2 linked regions of the Ovis aries genome follow. Each later gene encodes a partner of the first gene's protein in a complex. Links are inferred from orthologs where the notes say so. Each region holds a gene or a part of one and is shown in the gene's direction. Other genes may lie near its edges.

Evidence for each region.
Region 2: the proteins of SLF2 (region 1) and SIMC1 are in contact, whole or in part, in a cryo-EM structure (PDB 7T5P), measured with the Homo sapiens proteins. The link is inferred for Ovis aries from reciprocal best matches to the Homo sapiens genes SLF2 and SIMC1. Residues at the interface, in NP_060591.3 of Homo sapiens: His738, Val772, Leu775, Lys778, Asp783, Phe786, Gln790, Gly791, Phe792, Thr794, Ser795, Ala796, Tyr797, His798, Tyr799, Cys820, Ile821, Gln825, Ser828, Met831, Glu832, Ile835, Arg836, Asp838, Thr839, Ser841, Asp842, Ser843, Pro847, Lys919; in NP_001295125.1 of Homo sapiens: Tyr426, Arg428, Leu431, Lys435, Leu438, Pro440, Val442, His443, His444, Leu445, Phe447, Gln448, Arg470, Arg471, Phe490, Asp493, Pro497, Val521, Asp522, Lys525, Glu526, Tyr528, Met529, Met532, Lys533, Gln536, Leu537, Arg571, Asn658, Gln661.

The regions. Positions count from the first base shown.
Region 1 is NC_056075.1:21,532,752-21,536,407, forward strand, and holds part of SLF2 (SMC5-SMC6 complex localization factor protein 2), read left to right. Parts: intron 1-2,594; coding exon 2,595-3,580; intron 3,581-3,656. UniProt on the Homo sapiens protein: Plays a role in the DNA damage response (DDR) pathway by regulating postreplication repair of UV-damaged DNA and genomic stability maintenance.
Region 2 is NC_056060.1:5,010,635-5,014,133, reverse strand, and holds the end of SIMC1 (SUMO-interacting motif-containing protein 1), read left to right. Parts: intron 1-2,405; coding exon 2,406-2,650; 3' UTR 2,651-2,927; downstream 2,928-3,499.

The DNA.
Region 1 (3,656 bases):
AATAATCTTAATATACATTTATACTTCAGTTGAATATCAGTAGACTATTAAGAGCATACGGGGATTTTTTTTTCTAGATAACATGAAGCATGTTTATCTGATAGTGAATTTGTGGTTGTTCAGTCACTAAGTCGTGTCCAGTTCTTTCCAACTCCATGGATTGCAGCACACCAGGCTTCCTTGTTCTTTACTATCTCCCAGAGTTTGCTCAAACTTCTGTCCATTGAGTTAATGATGCCATGCAACCATCCCATCATCTGTAGCCCCCTTCTCCTCCTGCTCTCAGTCTTTCCCAGCATCAGGGTCTTTTCCAATGAGTTGGTTCTTCACATCACATGTAGGTATTCCCTAAATAGTGAGTAGATATTAATCCAGATGTTAGGTTCTATTTACATTATTGTTATTACACTTAACAGTTGTGATAATACACATAATCACACATTCATTAATCACATACAAGTTCAGGGACTTCAGCAATGTTGATAGGATAGGCATTTAGCTTATTGATCTTCCAGAGCCCTGTCCTGTGGTTGAATTCTGAGGATCAACTTAATCTATTATTTAGTAATAGCCAGTCTTCTATTGAGCATTTGGATTTTTCTCTTTTTTTCTTTGCTTTTTCGTTTTTCCTTTTTCTTTTTACAAGCTCAGTCCTTGTCTTATCTGAGTATTTTCTATATTAATAAGTATTTGAAATGTTGTAAAGCATTCATTCAACCTACAGATTGTATAGGAGACACAAAAAGAATCATGAAGACTTGTCTTCTCCAAGTCTTCTCTTTTCTTGGTTATTTGATTTGTCATCCTGCCCTATAAAGGATCCCTGTCATTTTAAGACATTTAACCCCAGAAAACTGAGAGCATAGAATGATTTATCAGCTAATAGGAAATATCTGTAGAAGAATGCAGACAGGAGCTCTTGGGGGATTGAGTTTGTTTTTGTTTTAATTTATTTGCTGAACCGGGTCTTAGTTGTAGCATGTGGGATCTAGTTCCCTGACCAGGGATTGAACCCAGGCCACCTGCATTGGGAGCACAGTCTTAGCCACTGGACTACCAGGGAAGTTCCCCTGGGTTTGTTTGTTTTATATAAATTTGTATATTAATGGCTGCACTGGGTCTTCATTGCTATGCACAGGCTTTTCTCTAGTTGGCAACGAGTGAGGGCTACTCTTCAATTGTGGTGCTTGGGCTTCTCATTGCAGTGGTTTCTTTTGTGGAACACAGGCTTTAGGGCACAGGGGCAGTAGGTGTGGCAGCTGGGCTCAGTAGTTGTAGTACGCAGACTTAGTTACTCCACAGCATGTGGAATCTTCCAGACCAGGGATCAAACGCACGTCCCCTGCTTTGGCAGGCAGATTATTAACCAGTTGGACCACCAAGGAAGTCCTGGAACATTTTATTATTAATTAATTTTTCATTCTTACATACTGATTTTCCAGACTGTGTATTGATAAGCTTATCCAAATAATTGCCTAACTTCTTGAGTTTTTTTTGTTTTTTAAATCCAACTTGAGATGTGGGGACATCTGTCCATGTGTAGAAACTTGGTTTAGGGAAATTTGATTTTGAGAATACTAATTATATAAATAGTGAATTTTTCAGAATGAATTAATGAAACATCACATTTTTAAACACGGAAATTTTTAAAAAACTGGTTAATTCATGTATATGTGGTGTTTAAAATTAAAGTGCTTCTGGATGGAGTTCCTAACATGGAGTCAAGTTGTATTAGTTTCCTAGAGCTACCATACAAAGTATCTAAAACTAGATGGCTTAAAACACCAAAAATTTATTGTCTCATGATTCTGGAAGCTAGAATTCCCCAACTAAGGTTATCAGCAGGGCCATGCTCTCAGTAACTTTAAGGAAAGAATGCTTCCTTACTTCTTCCAGCTTCTTGTGTTTATCTGCAATTCTTGGCATTCCTTGATTTGCAGATGGATCACTCCGGTCACATGGCATCTTCTTTGTATGTGTCTTCATATTATCTTCCCTCTGCATGTCTTTCTCCATGTCCAAATTTCCCCTTTTTATAAGGATACCTGTTATATTGGATTAGGACTCACCCTAATTACCTCATTTTAATTTGATTGCCCCTATAAAAACCCTGTTTCTAATTCAGGTCATAGTCTGAGGTTCTGGGAGTTAACACTTCCCCATATTATTTTGGGAGCTACACTTCAACCCAAAACACAGCTGAGGATTAGAGAGATAAATGGGAAAGAATAAACAATTTAATAGTAGGGGGAAATACTTACAGGAAGTTTTTTTGAGAAATTACCTTTCCTTGATACAGATATACAGCTTTTTAGTATTTTGGCAAGTAACACCTTTAATTCTATTTAGGTAATAAACTTTTAATAGCTTTTGAGTGAAAATGAGCATTTGTCATTCGCTTTAGACTAAATTTCTTTGACATGAGTATGTCAAAGAAATATATTATTAACTTTTTCCTCATTCCATATGTGATAATCTCAGCCTAAGCTTTTAGAATTTAAATGCTTTGTCAGGGTGTTCTAGACACTCTTTGAATAAACTTTAATAAGATAGAAAAGTATATTTTCACTAATCTGGCAAAAATTAAATTTTAGCAGGCTCTAAGCAGAATAAATTCCCTGAGAAAAGAAAAAGGAACTCTGTGGACTCAGATCTGAAAAGCACAAGAGAATCTATAATGCCAAAAGCAAAAGAGTCCTTCCTTGAGAAGCGTCCCGATGGACCACATCAGAAAGAAAAATTTATAAAGCATATTGCACTGAAGACACCTGGTGATGTATTGCGTTTGGAAGATATATCCAAGGACCCAAATGAAGAAGCTGATTGCTCCTCTGCAGGCTTGACACCTACAAATTCTGGGCACCAAATCCGTGGTAGTGACCAAATCCGTGTGGCAAGTACCAAAGAGACTAAGATACCGAAACCCCACTTATCTTTACCTCAGGAAAAGTCTGCAGTTAAAAAAGCTAGCAACCTTCAGAAAAATAAAACTGCTAGCTCTGTGGCATCACAGGAGACAAAACTTCTACCTTTGCTTTCCCATGTTCCAAGTGCTGGTTCCTCTCGGGTTCCATTAAATGCTAAAAATTGCACTCTTCCAGTTCCTAAAAAAGATAAAGAGCGTTCTTCACCTAAAGAATGTTCTGGGCATTCTACAGAGTCCTCCAAACACAAGGAACACAAAGCAAAGACTAATAAGGCTGATTCTAACATATCTTCAGGGAAAATTTCTGAGGGATCTTTACGTTCAGAATATGGCACTCCTACAAAGTCTTCCCCAGCTGCTTTGGAAGTTGTGCCATGTATTCCAAGCCCACCAGCACCTTCAGATAAAGCCCCTTCAGATAAAGAGTGTTCAGGAAATTCTAATGCAGGTAGCAGTGCACTGAAAAGGAAACTAAGGGGTGATTTTGATAGTGATGAAGAAAGTTTAGGTTATAACCTAGAGAGTGATGAGGAAGAGGAAACATTAAAATCACTGGAAGAAATAATGGCTTTGAACTTCAATCAGACTCCTACAGCTACAGGAAAGCCTCCAGCTCTTTCTAAAGGGCTTAGATCTCAGTCATCAGACTATACAGTAAGTAGTTCTACGACATCTATCTTTACTTGAAGAGAGAAAAATGGATTGACTAGTGAAAGAGCGATAGATCTGT
Region 2 (3,499 bases), on another chromosome or scaffold:
TGGCATTTGCACCTTTTCCCGCTACATGGACTGCTTTTCCGCTAGACTTTTCATGCTTACCTCCTTATCCTTTGGGACTCAACTAAGAGGCCCTCCCCAGCTAGAATACACCGCCTCCCTTGATCCTCAGTGTTCCTGTGTATCACAGCACCCAGTTGATTTCTTTGGTTGCACTCACCAAAACCACAACTGTCTTTGTTGACTAACCACTGTCAGGCTTCCTGCGGCTAGAATGTCAGTCCAGGAGGGCTGGGCCCAGGTCTCTGATCCCACTGTCTCCTCGGAGCCTAGCCCTGTCCCAGAGGCAGAGTAGGCGCTCACTGTAACATTGATTAAATGCTGAAATGCCCCTATGATGACATCTCAGAGCAGCTGTGCCTCCTGTTTCCAGACTTTTTGGATATTCTGCAATCTATTTATTATACTTTTTCTTTTCAGTTGATTCTATTTTCTCAAATTTCTAGACCCTGTAGTTCAGTCCTTCTAGGAACCCTGTTAATGAAGGTGCCATTACCCCCTTTTATAAATGAGATGGATACAATGATGCTGGCATGGTCTCTGGTACACCTGGACTCAAAAGGCCTGCAGGGCCCTTCCCCTCCATTTGCCTTGCCTGTGACCCTGTGCCCTGTGTGCCTCGATCCCACACACTTCCAGAGCCCTGCTGGGACCGAGTCATGGTTTTGTAATGGGTACCTTTAGAAGTTTGTACTTTTCCCCAGCATTTTATTTTTGAACTTACAGAAAAGCTTAAGGAGTAGTATGACGTACACTCCTGTAACTTGTACCTTGATTCAGAAGCTGTTAGCATTTTGCCATATTTGGCTTATCTATTCCATCCACATACTTTTTTTCGCTGAACCAGTTCAGAGTAAGTTGCGCTGTCATAATCCTTCACTGTTAAACACTTCAGCTTAAGAATATCCTCCTACATGCCGTTATTCATTATCCCTCTGATTCTGTCCTTGATAGAATGTTATCTAATGTGTGCCAGTGGTAGCCTTGACTGCTGTTTGGTTTTGCTTTGGGTCAGGATTCAGTCAAGCATCACACATTGTGCTTGGCTGGTATGCTCTTCTGCTTCCTGTCATCTAACACAGCTGCCAGCCTTTACTTGTCTCTCGTAACAGGACACTTTTGAAGAGTCCAGGTCAGTTACTTCATAGAACACCGCACAACTGGGGTGGTCAGCTTATTCTCTCATGAGCAGCAAGAACACAGAAGAGATGAGGGTGGCTACCCCTTTCCAGTGCATTACATCAAGAGGCAGGAACATCAGTGTGGTCTCACTGGTGTGAAGTTGGACCATATGGTCAGGGAGTCCCTAAGAGACTTCTCCCGTGTTCTCTTCCCAGAGGGTGAAACTCAGTCTCCCGTTCAGCCTTTCATTTGGTGAACTACTGAATTGATTTAGTAGATGGAAAATTGGTCCCTTTCTAGTCATGTATTCCTTCTACATTTCTTAACTGGCCTTCTGATAAAAATGACCTTCCCCTTCTCCCTGCACTCATTCTTATTTACTATGGATTTGGGACATTTTAAAATTCAGTGTGTTATAGTCCCATTTTTTTGGCCATTATTTACCATCATATTGTTCAAAATGTGGCCAACAGAAACTAATATGTCCCCATTAGTTTCTAAGCATTCCCTTACTTTCTTATAAAAAAAAGTTCCAGGTTCCCCTTGTAACTTCCTTGCCATGATCCTAAAATCAGCCTTTTTGCCAAGAGTTCTGGTATTTTTTAGTGGGGAGTGGGAAATAGTATTTCAAAACCAAGATCTAGGTGCTGAGTATGCTGATTGCTACTGGGACAGCCATCAGTTATTATTGCTTCTAGGCCCTTTCTGACAAGGGCTAGTAAATTATGTAATTTAAAAAAAATGAAAGTTCATACTGATACCTGTTTCCACTTCCACAGAATTCTTCCTCTTCCTGTTCCTTAATTCAATCTTGTCTCCCATAGTGAGAACCCTTGCTTTATTCTCAACATGAATGTTTATTCATTTGGTCTATCCTGCAATACATACAAAATGGATTCAACAGAATTACGATTAACCAAAATCATGACAGACTTACCATGTAAAATTTAATATCTTTGCAATTCTTTTCAGAGAGTAGTTCTCCAATTATATCCATTTGAAATAGTTTCATTATTTAATATAGGTTTGTTGTCTAAATCAACAAAGGAAAAAGAACTAAAACCAAGGCTTTTTTTAATACTAAAACCTGAGGTCCAGAGAGAACCAGAACAAAGGACCTTTCAGAAATGGGCCTTTGACTTGTAGCCTAGTCACTCATCAACAAATCTTTGCCTACACCCTACCTACCAAAATTCCGTCTTCCCCAGTCATAGAGGAATAGAAAGTCGTTCGGAACAGTGCCGCTGACTTTTTCCCTCTTGCAGAGCACTTGCGGAGCTCAGTGATTGACCGGAAAGACTTAATAATCAAAAGAATCAAGCCCAAGCCCCAGCAGGGGGACGACATCTCCGTGGTGGACGTGGAGAAGCAGATCGAGGCCTTCCGCAGCCGCCTGGTCCGCATGCTGGGGGAGCCGCTCGTCCCGCAGCTGCAGGACAAGGTGCGCCTCCTCAGGCTCCTGCTCTTCTTTGCCGCAGACCTGAACCCCGACTCGGAGGTCTCTCCATAGGCCTGGAGCAGCACAAGGTTGTCTGAGGCACTGAACACCAAGAATACCTCCTGAACTCCACCTCCAACTGCTTGGAAGTCCCAGAAGGATAGAAAGTAGTTTAAAATCTAACAGGACCAAACCTACCTTATTTATCTGTAGGCTATGATAACTTTCTAACTCTTTAGTAAACATCTTTTTTTTTAACAACCCTGTCCTAGCCTCTTCTCAGATATGACTTAAATACATATGGTGTATATATTTTTTAATAAATTATTTATGTATACTTTTTTTGAAACAGGTAATACTGTATGCACTATATGTTTAACATTTCCATTCAAGATGTGAAAAAAAGAATCCATGTGCTAAACAAATTTGAGACATCAATGTTACGTCATTCAAGGTACTGAGAACCTGTTTCGAAAGAGAAAGATGTTTGTGTCCCTAACGGAAAACAAACATCCTATATCGGACCTGTGATATTGCCTATTTGTGGCCAGTCTGTTAAGACCTAACGTAATGAAGGGGGATAGAAACAAAAGTATTGAGTGTGCTGCAAAAAGATTGATGTTAAAAGGATACAATAAAAAGGCAATGGTGTTTCAAAATATCAAATTTATCATGCTTAGGTTTCATGACTGAGCAGGCAGAATGGAGTAACTTAATGAAAAAAAACTTCCATCTACATTTGAGAAAGTAGTACGGATTTTTATTGTCAAAACAAGTAAGAGATACAAGCATAACAGAAGACACAAATAAATTAATTCTGATCATCTGAGACTCCAGGGTGTCTCTGGGGGAAGGTCAGCTCGGCTCCTTGTGTAGACACAATACCGTCCAAAGCAAGAGACAGCAGGAACGGACGGTGTT